Caenorhabditis elegans: one gene and its partner. The protein of the gene in region 2 interacts with the protein of the main gene of each other region in a pairwise test. Each region holds a gene or a part of one and is shown on either strand. Other genes may lie near its edges. The genes, in order: Y57A10A.8 and mfsd-13.2.

What was found.
Region 1: the proteins of mfsd-13.2 (region 2) and Y57A10A.8 interact in a two-hybrid assay, tested with the Caenorhabditis elegans proteins (one large-scale study listed by BioGRID).

The regions. Positions count from the first base shown.
Region 1 is NC_003280.10:12,162,099-12,172,223, forward strand, and holds Y57A10A.8 (SPK domain-containing protein), read left to right. Parts: upstream 1-2,740; 5' UTR 2,741-2,748; coding exon 2,749-2,906; intron 2,907-3,166; coding exon 3,167-3,280; intron 3,281-4,102; coding exon 4,103-4,393; intron 4,394-4,992; coding exon 4,993-5,106; intron 5,107-5,586; coding exon 5,587-5,796; intron 5,797-7,052; coding exon 7,053-7,398; intron 7,399-8,210; coding exon 8,211-8,426; intron 8,427-8,477; coding exon 8,478-8,540; 3' UTR 8,541-8,664; downstream 8,665-10,125.
Region 2 is NC_003280.10:7,160,634-7,168,288, forward strand, and holds mfsd-13.2 (Transmembrane protein 180), read right to left. Parts: upstream 4,947-7,655; 5' UTR 4,847-4,946; coding exon 4,742-4,846; intron 4,380-4,741; coding exon 4,275-4,379; intron 4,222-4,274; coding exon 4,112-4,221; intron 3,636-4,111; coding exon 3,290-3,635; intron 3,246-3,289; coding exon 3,000-3,245; intron 2,958-2,999; coding exon 2,803-2,957; intron 2,460-2,802; coding exon 2,373-2,459; intron 2,325-2,372; coding exon 2,118-2,324; intron 2,061-2,117; coding exon 1,898-2,060; 3' UTR 1,810-1,897; downstream 1-1,809. Other genes in the region: C27H5.2 (TAR DNA-binding protein 43 N-terminal domain-containing protein), read left to right, coding at 74-214; C27H5.12 (Ferrochelatase), read right to left, coding at 715-846, 891-902; col-36 (Cuticle collagen 36), read right to left, coding at 7,043-7,655.

The DNA of each region.
Region 1 (10,125 bases), 5.0 Mb from region 2:
CGTCAGCAATTCAGTGTACCCACGAATAATGGAGCCACTTCAGCTGAATCAAAGATCATAAGTTTGCATGACTTCCTGAAATCCCTGATCCAATTCATTTGTTTTCTCGAAAGTTCGGAGCTCACTGAGATCAAGCAGAAAATCAAAGAGTCGATTAGAACTGATAATGATAAGGTAGACAGTACTAATAAAAATAAAAATTTGAAATTCTATATTTTCAGTTCCTGCAAATCACCGACATTTGTACAGTACTGCAGGCATTTTTCTTCGGAATCAGTCGCAAATTCAGATTAGCCGCGGCCGCTTCTAATTCCCCAGCTATGAAGATGAAGGATTTCCTGGTCAAATTCAAGTTATTTCTTCTCGGATTGGATTCCTCCGAGCTTCTAGAGCTTCAGCAGAAGGTTCAAGAAAATATTGATGAGCAAACGGAATTGGCAGAGAAGGTTTTTAGAAGTCGTCAGAAATTAATTATATTAACAATAAAAATTGCAGGTTCTTCCGATCAGCGACGTTCGTCAATCTCTCCAAAACCTGCTCTCCACAATTTCTCAATATTAAATTATTTAAATTTTGTTGAATTTTTTGTTGAAAAAACAGGGTTTTCACCTTGTTTTCTTGTTCTTTTTTGTTTTAATAATATTTAATTTTCATTATTTTAACGCTCTTCTTTTTTTATTCAAGTTTAATTTTACCTTATGAAATATTTAATTTTTAAAAAAATGTCTTAATAACAGATATTACCTAAATGCAAAATTTTGTAGAATGAGGAGTACTGTAGTTTCAACTGTATTTTTAAAGGCGCACATTATTTTTTACTGGGTTCCTAAATTTTGTCGTGTCGAGACCGTCAAAACTTACAAAGTTTTGTGCAAAATAAAATTCGGTGAAAATTGAATGTTCGCATTACAAAACTGGCGTTCTCAAAATTTTCAAAATTATCAGAATTTCCAATATTAAACTGCAGAATTTTTTTGCCTAAGAGATCATAAATTTTTATGATTTTTTTCCAATTGAGGAAAAAAGAGCAAATTCGACAATTTTCCGAAAATAAAAATATACGATGCACCATGTTAGACACAGCTGGCAGATGAGAGACGTCAGAGAAAAAGGGGACGCGTGTCTGCGTCTCTCATAGGCGATAGACAGGCTAGAAGGGTTCTGTTTTGTGATTTTCTTACTGGGGTTCTTTTCAATTTATTAAAGATTTGTTTAAAAACGTATGCAATTCCTGAAATATTTAAATTTTTCTGAAAAATCGAATTCTTCAAGATTTTTTAGGATTTTATTTGAATTTGTTGAATATAAAAATGTGCTTTAGGCATCATATTCAGAAAATGAATAATTTTTTTAAATTATTTATTTATTAGTTTTTTTCTAATTTGTATTGATTTTCTAAATTAAAAAAAAACCAAGCTACCACATTTTTTATTTTTCAAGAATATACATATTACGCTAACACAAAATTCTGAAAATGCGTATTGCACAACATATTTGACGCGCAAAATATCTCGTAGCGAAAACTACAGTAATTCTTTATAAAGCTACTGTAGCGTGTTTGTGTCGATTTACGGGCTAGAATGGATATTTAAATTTATTTATTTCTCGATAAAATATGAAAATTAAGCTAAAATTTAGAAAATAATGCCGAGAAACGAAAATAAATAAAGTATTACTGTAGTTTTCGCTACGAGATATTTTGCGCGTCAAATATGTTGTGCAATACGCATTCTCAGAATTTTGTGTTCCTCTAAATATGTTCTGATTTTTAAAAATTTCCCTACATTTTTATTCTTCGGCTATTAGGTCTCCAAATAAGTTCCGGGTCAAAAATCATAACTTCTTTCGCCTTTTATCGATTTTTTTGAAACTGTGGGAATTTATGTTATCAACTATGATCTTTCATTTTGATATGGTCACAAAAAATTTTGACCACCCGGAGTGCCCTAACTCGAAGCCAATTTTTTCAAGCATTTTTCTGATCTCGCTTCTTTGCAGCTTTGAATTGAGGTTTATGTGCGGACTTTGCTTTGTTTAGAATACATTGTAAGAAAACAAAAAAAGTTTGGAAAAAAATCCGTCCAAAAATTTTTTTTTGGTCGGTGGTCAAAAAATTTTTTATTTTTTTTCAAAACTTTTTTTTTCGAAAATTCTTGATTTTTTATACAAAAATGATGTAGTCATGTGTGAACTATTTTTACAAATACAAAACATTTTAACTAAGTTCGTCACACTCAAATGATAATAGAAAACATAATTTTTTCGAAGAATTTTTGAGTTTTTTGAGTATTTCTCGAGATCCAAATTTCAAACTCAAATGTTTTGTATGTATAAAAACCGTTTACACATGGTTACATCATTTTTATACTAAAAATCAAAAACTTTCGAAAAAAATTTTTTTTGAAGTTTTTTTGACGACCGACCAAAAAAAATTTTTTGGACGGATTTTTTTCCAAACTTTTGTTGATTTCTTACGATGTATTCTAAACAAAGTAAAATCCGCACACAAACCTTAGTTCAAAGCTGCAAAGAAGCGAGATCAGAAAAATGCCTGAAAAATATGGCTTCGAGTTAGGGCACTCCGGGTGGTCAAAAAATTTTGTGACCATTTCAAAATGAAAGGTCATAGTTGATAACATAAATTCCCAAAGTTTCAAAAAAATCTATAAAAGGCAAAAAAAGTTATGATTTTTGACCCGGAACTTATTTGGAGACCTAATATTTTCTGAAATTCTTGCAGACTTCACAATGAACGCTGACACTGCCGATGAGGAAATCACGAAACTTTTAGAATTTCTCATTGAACAGACGAAAGATGCATTTGAGCCGATGAGAGCGTTGGCGGTTTTTGAATCATTCGGTCAACTTGAAGAGGATCCGTTAGACCGGAAAACCTATCATTATAGGTGAATAAACTGGGCTGAAAATTGTTTTTTGCGAAAGAAGAAATATTTTCAAAAAAAAAAAGAAAAGAAATAATAGTAATTTTCTTTTAAAAAAATGACACCTAGAATTGTAACTTACCAACAAAAAAAAATCATTTTTCGCTATTCTAGTTTATTTGGCAAATATGTTTTTCTTAAAAAATATTAAAAATACGAAAAAAATTCGATTTTGTTTTCTTCAAAAGTTAGACGTTTTTTTCAAAATATAATAATTAATTAAGGTTTCATCAGAAGATTGCTCCGAATATGGATTCATGGAACAATTATAGTATCGAATCGAGAATTCGATTGATGTTCGCATTGGCTGGAAGAGTTCGGGATAATTTTCTAGAGAGGTGAAAAAAAATTATTTTGAACTTTTTTAATTTAAAAACACCTCAAAAGAGGTTTTTTTCAATAATTGAAAGAAAAAAATTCAAAAAAACCACATTTTGCAACAAAAATTGAATTTTTCGTCGAAATTGAAAAAAAAAATGTCTATAAAAATTAATTCAAAATTTTCTGGAAAAAAGTAAATGAAATAATTTTTTGCAATTATTTTATAACAAAAATTCAGTATAATAATTTTTTTGTGTGCTCCTGATCCTGAATATCAATGTGAAAAAATTCCAAAAAATTTCCCTGATTTTATATTAATTTTTTTTAATCCGAAAATTTATTGATTTGTTAAATTCAAGCGACAAATTTTGACTGATAACCGTGCCGCAGGTGTGTGGATTTACGAGATTAAGATTTTTAATCCATTTTTATTTAATTTTCATACCTATTTTCCCGATTTTTATCTTTTTTTCGTTGTTTTACATTGAAAATCTTCGATTTCTATTAATTTATAAATTTTTATTAATGAAAATCACAAGAATTTCAATGTAAAACGACGAAAAAACGAGAAAAATTGGAGAAATTGGTATGAAAATTAAATAAAAATGAATTAAAAATATTAATCTCGTAAATTCACACAACTGCCGCACAGTTATCAGACAGAATTTGTCGTTTGAATTTAACAAACCAATGGATTTTCGGATTTTAAAAAATTAATTAAAAATCTGGGAAATTTTTTTGGAGCTTCAGAAATTCATTTCAAAATGTGCTTCCAGAATGCAAATTTTCAGGCAAATAAATTAGGAAAAAATTTTTTTTCAATTATTTCCAATTTTCAGCATCCAATCACAAGGAACCGTCGAACTTGATGAGAAAAATCGAATTTGCGAATATATCTCAAATGATGGAACATTGACGTTAAAAGGAGATCACAGTGATTCTGCAAGATGGGCTAGAAGAATCACTTCCACCACGAACCCCACAAAATCCGCTGCTTTTGCCGAAAAATTCATGAATTTCTTGGTCGAAAAAACCAAAAATGTCGTTGAGCCCGTTTCGGTTGGTGGAATTTATGAGGAATTCAGTCAAATTGATGGTTTTGGACTTTCGCCAGCCGCCTATCGTACCAGGTGAGACACCAGAGATCAAGGGATTTTATGGGGTTATTCATGTGATGACGAAAAATGAAAAAAATGTAAATTTTTATAAATTTTTCCTCTATGTGTAGAAAAATATTTTTTTTAAATATGCATTTTTCTACACATGTGAATAGGGAAAAATGCATAAAAATACATTTTTGCATTTTTCGTCAACACATGAATAACACCCCAATATTTCGAAAATTTCGAATTCCAATATTTTTTGAAACAAAAACGAAATATTATACTACATTCTAAAAATGCGTATTGCACAACATATTTGACGCGCAAAATATTTCGTAGCGAAAACTACAGCAGTATCTCTTTAAAAGACTACTGTAGAGCTTTGTGTCGATTTACGGGATCTCGATTTTCGATTATAATTGAATTTCGTAAATCGACACAAACGCTACAGTAGTCATTTAAACAGATACTGTAGTTTTCGCTATGAGATATTTTGCGCGTCAAATATGTTGTGCAATACGCATTCTCAGAATTTTGTGTTCTCGTAATACATTTTTTAAAAAAAGAAATTCGCTTTTTTTAGGATTTTCTAAAATTAAAAAAAAATCAATCAATTTTTCTTCCAGATTCCACATAAATATTGTGCCGGAGATCAATGAATGGAACAGCTACAGTATCGAAGAACGAATTCGATTGTTAATGGCGTTAGGTGCACTGGTACCGGAAGATTTTCTAGAGAGGTATTAGGAAATTCGGAGAATGCGTATTGCACAACATATTTGACGCGCAAAATATCTCGTAGCGAAAACTACAGTAATTCTTTAGATGACTACTGTAGCGCTTGTGTCGATTTACGGGCTCGTTTTTCGCCACTTTTGTGTGCTTTTTAATTATATCAATTTATAAACGGTTTCCGTAAATCGACACAGTAGTCATTTAAAGAATTACTGTAGTTTTCGCTACGAGATATTTTTCAAATATGTTGTGCAATACTTGATCACCTAAATTTGACATCTTATCATCTGAAAAGGTGTCGTTTTTATAGGTGAAGTACCGAAATCTGGAAAATATTTTAAAATTGGAAATTTTCTAGAAAAAAAATACGTGGCCGTGGAAAATATCAGAAAACTCGGCCACCGACTTTTTTCCAAAATTTTTCTTTTTTTTTTAAATATTATATGGAATTTTCTTTAACACAACATTATTGAGTTAATTTCCAGAATTGAAGCGGAAGGAACTGTAGATCTTGATGAAAAGGGAAGAATTCTCAAATATAGCTCAAATGATGGAAATTTGAATCTCGACAAACGTAATATTGCAACAGCAAATAGAAGAAATAGTACAGCAGCACATCGAAAAAGAAGTTTGGATCGTGATTCTGAAAGCGGTAGTGCGAAAAATGCGAGAGCTGTGAAATCTGAGCCAAAAAGGTTTTTAATTTCCTCAATTAAAATGGTTTTTCGATTTTTCGATTTTTTTACAAGAATTTAAATTTAAAAAAAACGCAAATTCGTTTTGAAGAAGAAAAAAACCAAAATATTTTCAAAAAAAAAGCTTAAGATTTTGCAAATTTTTATTATATTTTACTCAGGCATGAAATATTTAATTTTTGCGCTAAAAATACGGTCTCGACACGACAAACAATTAAAAAAAAAATTTTCCTTCAAAGAGTACGGTAATTTCAACTCTAGGTAGTTTCATAATTCTTCAATAAAATGTTTTTTTCATTTTTTTTTGTTGATTTATTAATTCAAAAATTTCAGTTTTAAATTACGGTACTCTTTAAAGGCGCACGCCTTTTTTGCATTTCACAACAAAACAATTATCGTGGCGAGACCAATATAAAATGAAATCATTTAAAAAATCGATTTTTCTTTTCAAAAACTGTCGAATTTCAATTTTTGTGTCAAAAAATACGGTGCTCGGTCTCGAAAAGACAAAAAAAAAACAAATTTTTGTAAAATGCGGAAAGATGTGCGCCTTTAAAGAGTACTGTAATTTCACTTTTTGAGGAATTTTCATAATTTTTCGATTAAAAAAAAACGAATTTATTCACACAAAAGTTTGAATAAAACAATATACAGTACTCTTTAAAGGCGCACATCCTTTTGCATTTTACAAAAATTATCGTGGCGAGACCGGCGAAAAAAAAACTCAACGTTTCGTGTCTGAGTAATAAAAAAGAAAATTTTTGAAAAATCTAATTTTTTTTGAACGAAAATTACCAATTCTCATAGTTTTTTTAAAAAATAAATTAATGTTTAACACAAAATGCTGAATTTTCAAAAATTCAAATTTTTTGAAATTTCAAAAAGTGTGTTTTTTTATTTTCAAAAATTCAATTTTTTTTTTATTTTTAAAATTTCACGGCGTTCTGGCCTTCCTCATTGAATTTTTCGCGCTCCATTGACAATCGCCCGCCGGACAACGCGTGGGAAAGTGTCGTGTACTCCACACGGATAAATACATTTAGTTTTACAACTGAAATAGAGCCGCGACGCGACACGCAACGCGCCGTAAATCTACCCCAGATATGGCCGAGCCAAAATGGCCTAGTTTGGCCTAAACCCTTCCATTTCAATTTATGAGGGAACCCAGAAATCCATGATAATCTTAAACAAAAAAATGTTGAAATTTCAAAAATCAAATTTTCTTTAAAATTCAAATTTTTCTCGTAATTTTCCAGTAAGCCCCAATCGGATCTTCATTATTCATCTGAAAGTGACACTGATGACGTGGAATTCGTTGAATCACTGCCAGGAAAACCGAAACTTGAACCCATTGATTACGACTACGACCAATATTTTAATAGAGATGTATCATATAATAATTATGATCAAGAAGAAGTTGAAAATCGAAATGTCAGATTATCGATTGCTAGCTCAATGCCTTCACTGGAGTCGAATGTTATTAAATTGAATGATTTCCTGAAAGAAGTTCGCAAATTCCTGTGCTTTCTCGAAATTTCGGAACTCGACGAGCTCAAGCATCAGATCAAAGAATCGGTTGTTCAGACTGCTGGCGCTAATGAGGTAGCAAAGATTAGAGTATTTTCATTAGATTTGTTCAATTTTTTTTGGAAAAAAGGATTAGGCTTAAGATTAGGCTTAGGCTTAGGATAAGGCTTAGGCTTAGGCCTAGGCTTAGTTTTAGGCTTAATATTAGGCTTAGGCTTAGGCTAAGGATTAGGCTTACAGTTAGAACTAGGCCTAGAGTTAGTCTTAGGATTAAGATTAGAACTAGGCCTAGAGTTAGTCTTAGGATTAGGCTTAGAACTAGGCCTAGACTTAGGATTAGGCCTAGGCTTAGGCTTAGGCTTTGGCTTAGGCTGAGGCTTAGGCTTATGTTTAGTATTACACTTAGGCTTAAGCTTGGCGTCAGTGGTGAGCTCGCTACTGACGCTATTTAGGCTTAGGATTTTCCGGTTTTTTTGATTTTTAAGGGGGTTCCAGTTGGCCGATTAGGATTAGGCTTAGGCTTAAGCTTAGGCTTAAGCTTAGGCTTAAGCTTAGGCTTAAGCTTAGGCTTAAGCTTAGGCTTAAGCTTAGGTTAGGCTTAATCTTAGCTTAGGCTTAATCTTGGACTTTAGGCTTAGGCTTAGAATTAGGCTTACAGGCTTACAGGCTTACAGGCAGGCAAGCCATCTTGAAATATTTTTTTGAGAAAATGTTTAAAACTGTAAAATTAAAAAAAAATTTCGACCAAAAAAGGACAATTTTTAACTGCAAAATAAAATTATAACTTTCTTGAATTTTTTTTTGAAAATCATAATTTTTTGAACCGCTAATAGTAAAAAAAAAACCAAAATTTGTTTTTAATTTAAAAAAAAAGTAGATTTTTTCAGAATCTGGAAATCAGCGATCTTTGTACATTACTCGATGCATTCTTCTTCTCGATCAATCAAAAAACCAGATCAACTATTCCAAATGATTCCACTATGCCGGTCAATGTATTCCTCATCAAATTCAAATGCTTCCTCCTTGGAATGGAATCTCCTGAATTTCTAGATCTTCAGGAGAAGGTTCAAAGGAAGCTTGACGAGTCGGATATCACGGAAAAGGTTTTGAAATTTCAACGAAAGATTGTTTTTTTTTATTTGAAATTGTTTCAGATTCTTCAACTGAGCGACATCCAACACGCTGTACAATATCTGTTCTTTTCTGTTTCTCATTAATTAATATGTTTTTTCTTGAATATTTCTGTTTTGCACGATATCCTGTTTATCCTCCACTTTTTCGATCTCTTTTTCTCACGAGTTTCCAATTTTTGTTACAAGGTCATGAATCTGTTAATTTTTTAAAATTTTTTTTAATTGACATAAAAATTAAGACGTCATCGGAAAATATTGTTATATGCGTTCTAGAGGGCTGAAGTAGAAAAAATTTTGTTTTGAGTATTAAAGTAGTTTTTTTTTGGACAAAAACATTTTTTTGAAATCATACCAAACCACTAAAAATTGAAATATGGCAATTTTTTGAGTTTTTGAGTAAATTTCGAGTCCTCTTACTACAAAATAGCCCATTTTAGAGGACTTTCGAAATTGTGAATTTTTGCCATAAATTGCCCAATTTTGCCACTTTTTAATTGTTTTTGACGGGTTAAACTTAGATTTTCTGAATTCAGCATATATGGTTTACCCTTTTTCAACAAATTTAGGCAATTTTTTATTTTTGCCCAATTTTTTCAGACATCTAATTACTGCCCTTCTTTGGGCAAAAAAAATTTTTTTGAATTTTCACAAAACTATTATAAATTGAAAAAGGGCAATTTTTCACGGTTCGGAGATAAATTTTGAGTCCTCTAACTACACTGTAGTATCATAACCAAACTACAGTAGCACTGTAGTACCATAACCAAACTACAGTAGTACTGTAGTACCATAACCCAAACTACAGTAGCACTGTAGTACCATAACCAAACTACAGTAGTACTGTAGTACCATAATCAAACTACAGTAGTACTTTTGTTACCCTAATCAAACTTCAGTAGTATTGTAGTACCATAACCAAACTACAGTAGCACTGTAGTACCATAACCAAACTACAGTAGTACTGTAGTACCATAATCAAACTACAGTAGTACTTTTGTTACCCTAATCAAACTTCAGTAGTATTGTAGTACCATAACCAAACTATAGTAGTACTGTAGTACCATAATCAAACTACAGTAGTACTTTTGTTACCCTAATCAAACTTCAGTAGTATTGTAGTACCATAACCAAACTACAGTAGCACTGTAGTACCATAACCAAACTACAGTAGTACTGTAGTACCATAACCAAACTACAGTAGTACTGTAGTACCATAATCAAACTACAGTAGTACTTTGTTACCCTAATCAAACTTCAGTAGTACTGTAGTACCATAACCAAACTACAGTAGCACTGTAGTACCATAATCAAACTACAGTAGTACTTTTGTTACCCTAATCAAACTTCAGTAGTAATGTAGTACCATAACCAAACTACAGTAGCACTGTAGTACCATAACCAAACTACAGTAGTACTGTAGTACCATAACCAAACTACAGTAGTACTTTGTTACCCTAATCAAACTTCAGTAGTATTGTAGTACCATAACCAAACTACAGTAGCACTGTAGTACCATAACCAAACTACAGTAGTACTGTAGTACCATAACCAAACTACAGTAGTACTTTGTTACCCTAATCAAACTTCAGTAGTATTGTAGTACCATAACCAAACTACAGTAGCACTGTAGTACCATAACCAAACTACAGTAGTACTGTAGTACCATAAT
Region 2 (7,655 bases):
TGATTTTATGTTTGCATGGCTTCGCTTTAAATAATTTCAAATATCTAACATATTCAATTTCCGACTATTCCAGGAAGATCTAGCCCGTCAAGTGAGAGTTTTGAAAGAAAGACTCGCAGAATCGGATAGTCAAGTTGCTGAGCTCAATGTGCTTGTTTCTTCGTTGGCAGCAGATGCCACAGCTTCACGCAGAGAAATTTCAGATCTTTTGTAAATAATTCGATGAAAATATTTGATGATAATCCGAGTGTGCTTCAGTTTCTATCTAAAAAATAACGGCGTAGATTTAGAGTATGTAATAAAGAGTTTCTTCACTGACTTGTAAAAAGTATGAACAGTTTACATATATGATTTAATTTTTATCGGTACAAAAACTATACTGATTTGGGCTAGTGCTAGGTCTAAAAATTGCTTGATAATGAGAAGTACTGTGTTTTTTCACTACAATTCTTGCTGGAAAAATTAATGTTGAATGGGAAGGACTGAAAATAGTTTTAGCAGCACAGAAGTTTGACTAAGAAAAAATTATCAATGGGAAAAACTGAGCCACCTTTCATCGTAAAATCAAATCAAAAACGAGAAAATACGTTTATATTTATGAATAAATTGAAAGTAATAAAATATATAAAGGCACGTAATTGAAAAAGGTTAACAACGGAAGCATTTAATCAATTGATTGGCATTCTATTTTGTTGAGTGTATTGAATATTTTCTTCAACAAGTTGAACTCGAAATACAAATCCATACCCTTAACGGTATCAAGGGAAAAACATCTTTCGATACATTGTTCAAAATCTTGTCCAGAATTATTTCATTATCAAACACAGCGTTAATTGGGTCAAAGTTCTGAAATGCCAAATGAAAGATGAAAGGAGGAAAACTCAACTCACCGTTAAACACATTGCAAATCCTGTAAAAAAATATTAGAGCAGTTTCGTACGTACAGTCTCTCGGGCAGCTGAAAATAAGGAGACAATGCACACGGTTAGAAGGAAAGGAGAGTCATCGACAGTTGCGCATTGTACCTGTATATATGGTGTTGACCCGCCTGTTACTTAATTCATCATTATATCTCCAGTCGGAGCGTTGTTTAGTAATAATTGACCAAATCTACATTCCATGAAGGAAACAGTCGGTTTTTGTGTGTCACTTGAGCATTAGCTTTTTTTTGTAAAATACATCTCCAAATAGATTCAGTTGCTATGCATGATATTCCCAAACTTTTCCATTAACAATAAGATTACACGTTTAGAAGGGGAATTTGAATTTGTATTGGATTTTGATGCAATTTACCTGGAATCGATAGTTTTATATGCATATTTAAGACTTTTTCAGAGCCACCCTAAAATGTGGCGAGCCGACCCATGAATGACTGTCGATCATTTTGGATGCAAAAAACACAACTCTAAAAATTATAACAAAAATGTAAAACGGAAAGTAAATTTGTGATAACTATTGCAAAAAAGTCGAGCTATCAAAGTAAAGCATAACTTCAAATCTAAAGATGCTAAAGATTTTTTTTCAATAAGTTGAACTCAAAATACAAGGCGACATCAACTTTACAATTTGTGATTGCATTTCTGAAACAAAAAGGATAATTCGGCATTTTTTAAACATTATTCGGAGAAATCAGTTAATTGAGTTTTCAGCGTTTATACTTTATATATCGCGAATTAATTCAATCCGTTTTTTTGTAATTGACCAGATTTTTTTTCAATTCTATGCCATCATGAATCAATTAGTATAGCTATTTTACTGTCACCATTCACAACTACCGTAATAAACACTTTTTTCAGTTAGGTTCCTATCATTTAGAGATTTTCGTTATTTATTTTTTTGATAATTTATTTACAACTAAAAATGTATATTGAGATCAAGAAAATATGAAATTAAAAATTTAGTCATCTCCCAAATGACCAGTCTTTCCTTTGATATGCCTTCTCCAATATTGATCAAATGCAACAAACATTGACTCTCCAATTGCACAGATTGCAGGGAAAATTGCAAGAGCCAAGAACATCCATTGTGAATAATTAGTGCATTCTGCTACTGTCGGATATCTGAATAAATTATATAATTATATATTAGTTTTTGGAAAATACAAAACGCATACAAACCCAGACAACGTGGTGCTTTCCATAGATGTAGAATTGAACATTGTTGAATTTGAATAATTATCTTCATAAAATTGTTGGCAGGGAACAGTTAATTGTGGGTATCCACCTCGTTCTAAAAATAATGAGAGAACGAAAACAGGCGCTAGTTGATCAGCTGGTTTGTTGAAAAGAGCTTTCAAAGTGAAAATGATTGTTGAGAATGGTGTTCTGAAGTATAAATTGATTTTTTAATGTAGAGAAAATATTGAAACAAACTTTCTATTATTTGTTTTCATATCAGTATCAACAACTTCTCCAGCAACAACTATGTAGAATCCTTGCCACCCACAACGAGAAATTGCGCTGAAAATTTGGAAAAATTACTACAAAAATTGTCAGTGCGGAAAATGTTAAACACCGGTTCTATAGTACAAAAGTAATACCAAAGTTCCAATTTTAAAAATCTCATGGATTTTTTGCAGCTGATAAGTCAAGAAACTTAGTTTTCCCCAACCAAAATTTAGATAGTTGGCCAAAAAATACGTTGTTCTACGGATTTTTATTTGTAAATTGCGTTTCAATCGTTCATGTTCAAAAATTATAGAAATTCAAACCAACAGAAATTGCGGAAATTTCTCAAAACGGCTTTTTGAAAAATTTTTCGCCGCTCTACCAAAGTGCTCTACCAAAGTTTCGAAAAACTTACTTTTCCAAAATAATAAAAATTGCAATTGCTGTGATATTATTCACACCGGCGTAGAGAATAAAAATAACATTGAAAATAGATAAAATATTGAGAGATTGAATAACTGCTTGAGTTCCAAATCGATTTGTTGGAACCCAGAGAAGCAGGAATAATATCTGAAACTGATCATGTTCACAGATCAAGAAGAATCTACTCACACTTCCACTGGATCGTGCAAGAACGTAAAATAATCCAAGTGATCCTGAGTTTTTCTCAAAGAAACCATTATTTACAAGAAGTCCCTCTGTGAATACAATCAAAAAGTTTTCATTTGCAATAAATCGGAGAATTCTAAAGAATTGAGCTCCAACAAGGCAAATGAATCTTGGTTCTTTTGCAATTTGCAAAGAAACTGTCAGGGCGTTCTTCCATCCATCTTGTTTTGTTTCTTTCACTACTTCACCCTAAACTAGTTATTTGTAGAAAAACAATATTGTTTTTCACTAACCTCTTGAAACTTTTCCAATTGATGATCTTCGTTAATTGGTCTTTCAACTTTCAAATGATATCCAGAGAAAGCCATTAATGCAGCTGAAATACACGCAATAACAACACAACATAGCTGGAAAAGCCAATAATGTTCATTTGTATGTGGCATAGTTTCCAATGGATAAATGAGAAGTCCGGCGACAATTGTAAAGATTTCCCCGTATACAATAACTCGTACTCGATCTTCATGACTTCTTGAATTCTCGACACATAATCCACAATATGCAGATAGAACCAAAGTGAGTAGAGTATCATAAATGAATAGAGAAACAAGAAGGTGAAGAGCTGTTACCCATCCAATTGATCTGAAATCAAAGAGCTTCTGAATTTTAGTTTATTCATGTGAACCTTAAATGAAATGACATAACAATAGTTCTAAAACATTGGATGTCAGATAATTTTTTTCATTTTTTCAAATTATATAAAATTTCCATTTAACTTTACTGGAAAGTTGTACTGGCACTTATACAAACTCTGAACATTAAACATCCTATCTGTCAGAAAGTTTCCAATGTTTATTGATTCAGATTTCATCATTTTTATACAATTGAGCCCATTATTGTTCGGAGTGATAGTTCAGACTAAGTACATTTTAATTCAAATTCCCACTGTTGTGTATCGAAACCGAATTTCTGTTAAATTTTTACATAATCTGTGAACACTTCCCTGTCTCTTCACCTAACCAAATATTATGCTCTGTACTTTTTATGTCATGTTTTTTAATAGTTTCCGTTGATAGACCATGATGTTCTTATCAAAAAATAAAAATTCATTCACTCACGTTGACCATGGAAACCAAAAAAGCAGAAAAGAAGCTGCAAAAACGGGTCCCGCGTAGAGGACAACCTTCCTTCGATCCATAATCCATTTCATGCCACAAAATCCCAAATCCTGCAATTACAGAATTTAAAATCAATATACATAAATACTGCAAATAATATTACCTGCATATAGCCCATCATTGGATCATTTACAGCATTCCATACCAGAAACAGAATTTGCACAACTTTGAGATACGACGGTGGTAGATGGAATTCATCGAAAAATACCTGAAATTATTTGAAATAATTATTTGAAGCGATGGAGCCTATAACATAGATCATAAAATCATAGGCGATAACCACCCATTGATAACATAATCAATATAGAATATGAATAAAAAATTAGATTGAACAGCTTACCGTACATCCTCTATTAGTAAGGCGCCTCTATTAGTTTTGCATCAAATTAGGTGTCCGAAAATTAGTTTTGCACGCCTTACTAATAGAGGATATACGGTATATGAAAAATGTTTTTTTAACGCTTGTACATAAGCTCCACTGAAATTTGGTGCGAATAATTTCTTGTGACAGTTCTCATTCTGATTTTTTTATCAAGAGTAAATGAAAATGAATTTTATATTGTAAGTAACCTGGATATATTTGGATGTGAATACATAGTTAATTGAATCAGCAGCAAATGAAATAAGTCCGATCAAAAGAGCAGAATAACTAAGAAGAAAAGTAAATGAGACCATCACTTATCGATATTTATTCTTCACCTATCTCCGTTCGTCTTCTTCTTTTTCTTCAGAATGTTTCTAGTTGAGTCCGTATCAAATGAATAGACACAACAAAACAAACACGTCTCTATCTCTATCTCTTCTGATTCTACAGTTCTCTTCATGACATGGCAACCATATTTTATCCCCTCCCGCACTCTCAATTTTACAGTTTTTTTTTTCATTTTTTTTGGAAGACACGAATTATTTTTGTTTGATAGATAGACAATAGTTCTCTCACCTTTATGTAATATAAACTTTGAATTGACAATATGAATCCAGCACCAACGACAGTTAGAACAAGGTTTAATGTTGGCATATGGAGAAGACCCATGCTTTCCTGAAAGAAAAACAACGATATTTAATTGTAGACAGTGCAGAAAGCTGAAAATAAAACAAAACGCACGATTTTATTCATCCACTTCATTTTTTGGCTGATAACCGAATTTTTTGACAGAAAAATACAGGCAGTAACATTTATATGGAAGTTTTAGTTATTCAAAAACAATGCCTCAGAGATTGGGTGCACTTAAAAGCTGTTTTCGCATAAATAATGAATGCTGACTATACCGAACACCAGGAACATTGATAGACTGGAAAAAAAATGATTGGTGGATGGCTGTAATATTTTCAATTGCCGAAAATTGCAATTCTTACGGCTTGCCAAAATCGGCTAATGAATTGCCATGCTTTTTTTCAGCGAAAGGAAAAATCTAGCAGTTTACAAAAAATTTGGCAAAAATATAAATGGCAAATTGCTGAAAAACTTCCGGTAATTGTTGATTGCCTAAAATTCTATTTCCAAACAGCCACAATGGACTAACAAATCAGAATTTTGAAAACTGGTACTGATTCCTTTGCGACATATCTAGATTTTTTCACTGATTTTATTTTTCTGACTTATTTTAAAGTATTTTAAGAAATTATGTTTTACGGCCGTAATACGGTATTAAAAAACATGAAGAAGACCAGAAAATTTCCATATATTGCCAAATTTCGAAAATGTTGTGAAAATTAAATTTCTGTTGGATATTGAAGCAAAATTAAATTCCTGAAAACGTTTACATCCATACCGATGTAGTGAGACCGTATTGCGTATAGCTTTGACTACAAAACGTACCGAACGAATTTGGGTCATGACGGAATTGCCAGTTAATAAAATAAAATTCCAAAAGTTTCAGATCAAATACGGTTTTTACGTATTTGAGATCGATTAAAATCCAAAGGGATTTGGATATTTAAAACAAAACTAGGAAGGGCGGGAGACTACGTATTTTGGTGTAACCGACTATAATGTGACTCAATTTTTTTTTGAAAAAAAAGCGTAGTTTAGATGAACCATGATCATTCAAAAAGGGTAAAGTAGGAACAAAAATAAATATTTAGTTTTTTCATTATCAGTATAAAACGACAGGGTTAGGCAATTTTTGACTTTCTTATCTTTTCACCAATTGGAATATTAAAATTTAATGCGTGATTACATCGACTCCACCTCCTGTCACTTCGATTTTGTGTTCACGGTTCAAAATTGTTCAGGAAATATGTAATCGACACAGAAATAACACAAACTACAAAAGTTATTTGGAGTGTAGATTGTATTTTACACGTTAGTGGTCAAATATTTAAGAACTGATTTCAAGTTCGTAGATAGGAAACCTATAACTTTAAGCATACTCTAACAGTATTTTGAAATCGTAAATTCAAATTCTGAATTTTCATTCTAAGAACATACAAATAATATACCAAAACTGCCAAATAAGTTCTCATGGAGGAATATACGCTTTGCAAATCTCCTGTTCCACAATTTATCATCATCGTTTTTCCATGTCAAACTGCAGCGATAACATTAATTGCAATTGTAACTTTTCTGTGTTGTTATTTTGGATATTTTATTAAATTCGATAAACACTATAAACTACAATCCCCCGCTATTAGGACTTTTGTTTTGAGTACTTGAAAACACAATAAATAAAATTGTGTACTGATCGAATTGAGAACCAAAGAATTTCGAGCGAGCGTTTATTTGAGTCGAGCTTGGGTTGAGTCGTCAGCCAAACAACAAAGAAAAACATAAATGAGCAATTTAAATAAAACAATAAATTAAAAATGAAGAAGGCAGAACAGCATACAGCAAAAGCACCGGAATCAGATTCACGGCGAGACCTTGGTGGTCTAATAGCCTGGTGGGGTACGTGGCTCTGGGCAGTGATCGCAAGATCCTTCATCTCCTGGTGGTCCTTGTGGTCCTTGTGGTCCTGGTGGTCCTTGTCCTCCAACTGGTCCTGGGCCTCCAGCATCTCCTGGTGGTCCTTGTCCTCCGATTTCGGTAAGCCCAGCAATTCCTGGAAGTCCCTTTGGTCCTGGTGGCCCCTTGACTCCACGTGGTCCTGCTGGTCCAGCAGCTCCGTTTACTTGAATAACTCTTCCTGGTTGTCCAGCTGGTCCTGGTGGTCCTGGCTCTCCAACACCTCCTGGTGGTCCTGGGGGTCCAATCATTCCAGGTTCTCCGTTCTTTCCGTCGGCAGCTCTCTCTTGAGATTTACCCTTTGGTCCTGGTGGTCCCTTTGGTCCTTGTTGTCCAACGGCTCCTTGTGGGCCTGGTGGGCAGATGATGCATGGCTCTGATGGTGGAAGTGCAGAGCTGAGAATGGATCCTTCCTTTCCTGGAACTCCTGGAGCTCCGTGATGTCCATCATTTCCGTTTGGTCCAGTATCTCCTGCTGGTCCCGGTGGTCCAGCTGGTCCCTGTTGACATGGGCAGCAAGTTGGTCCAATATCGGCTCCA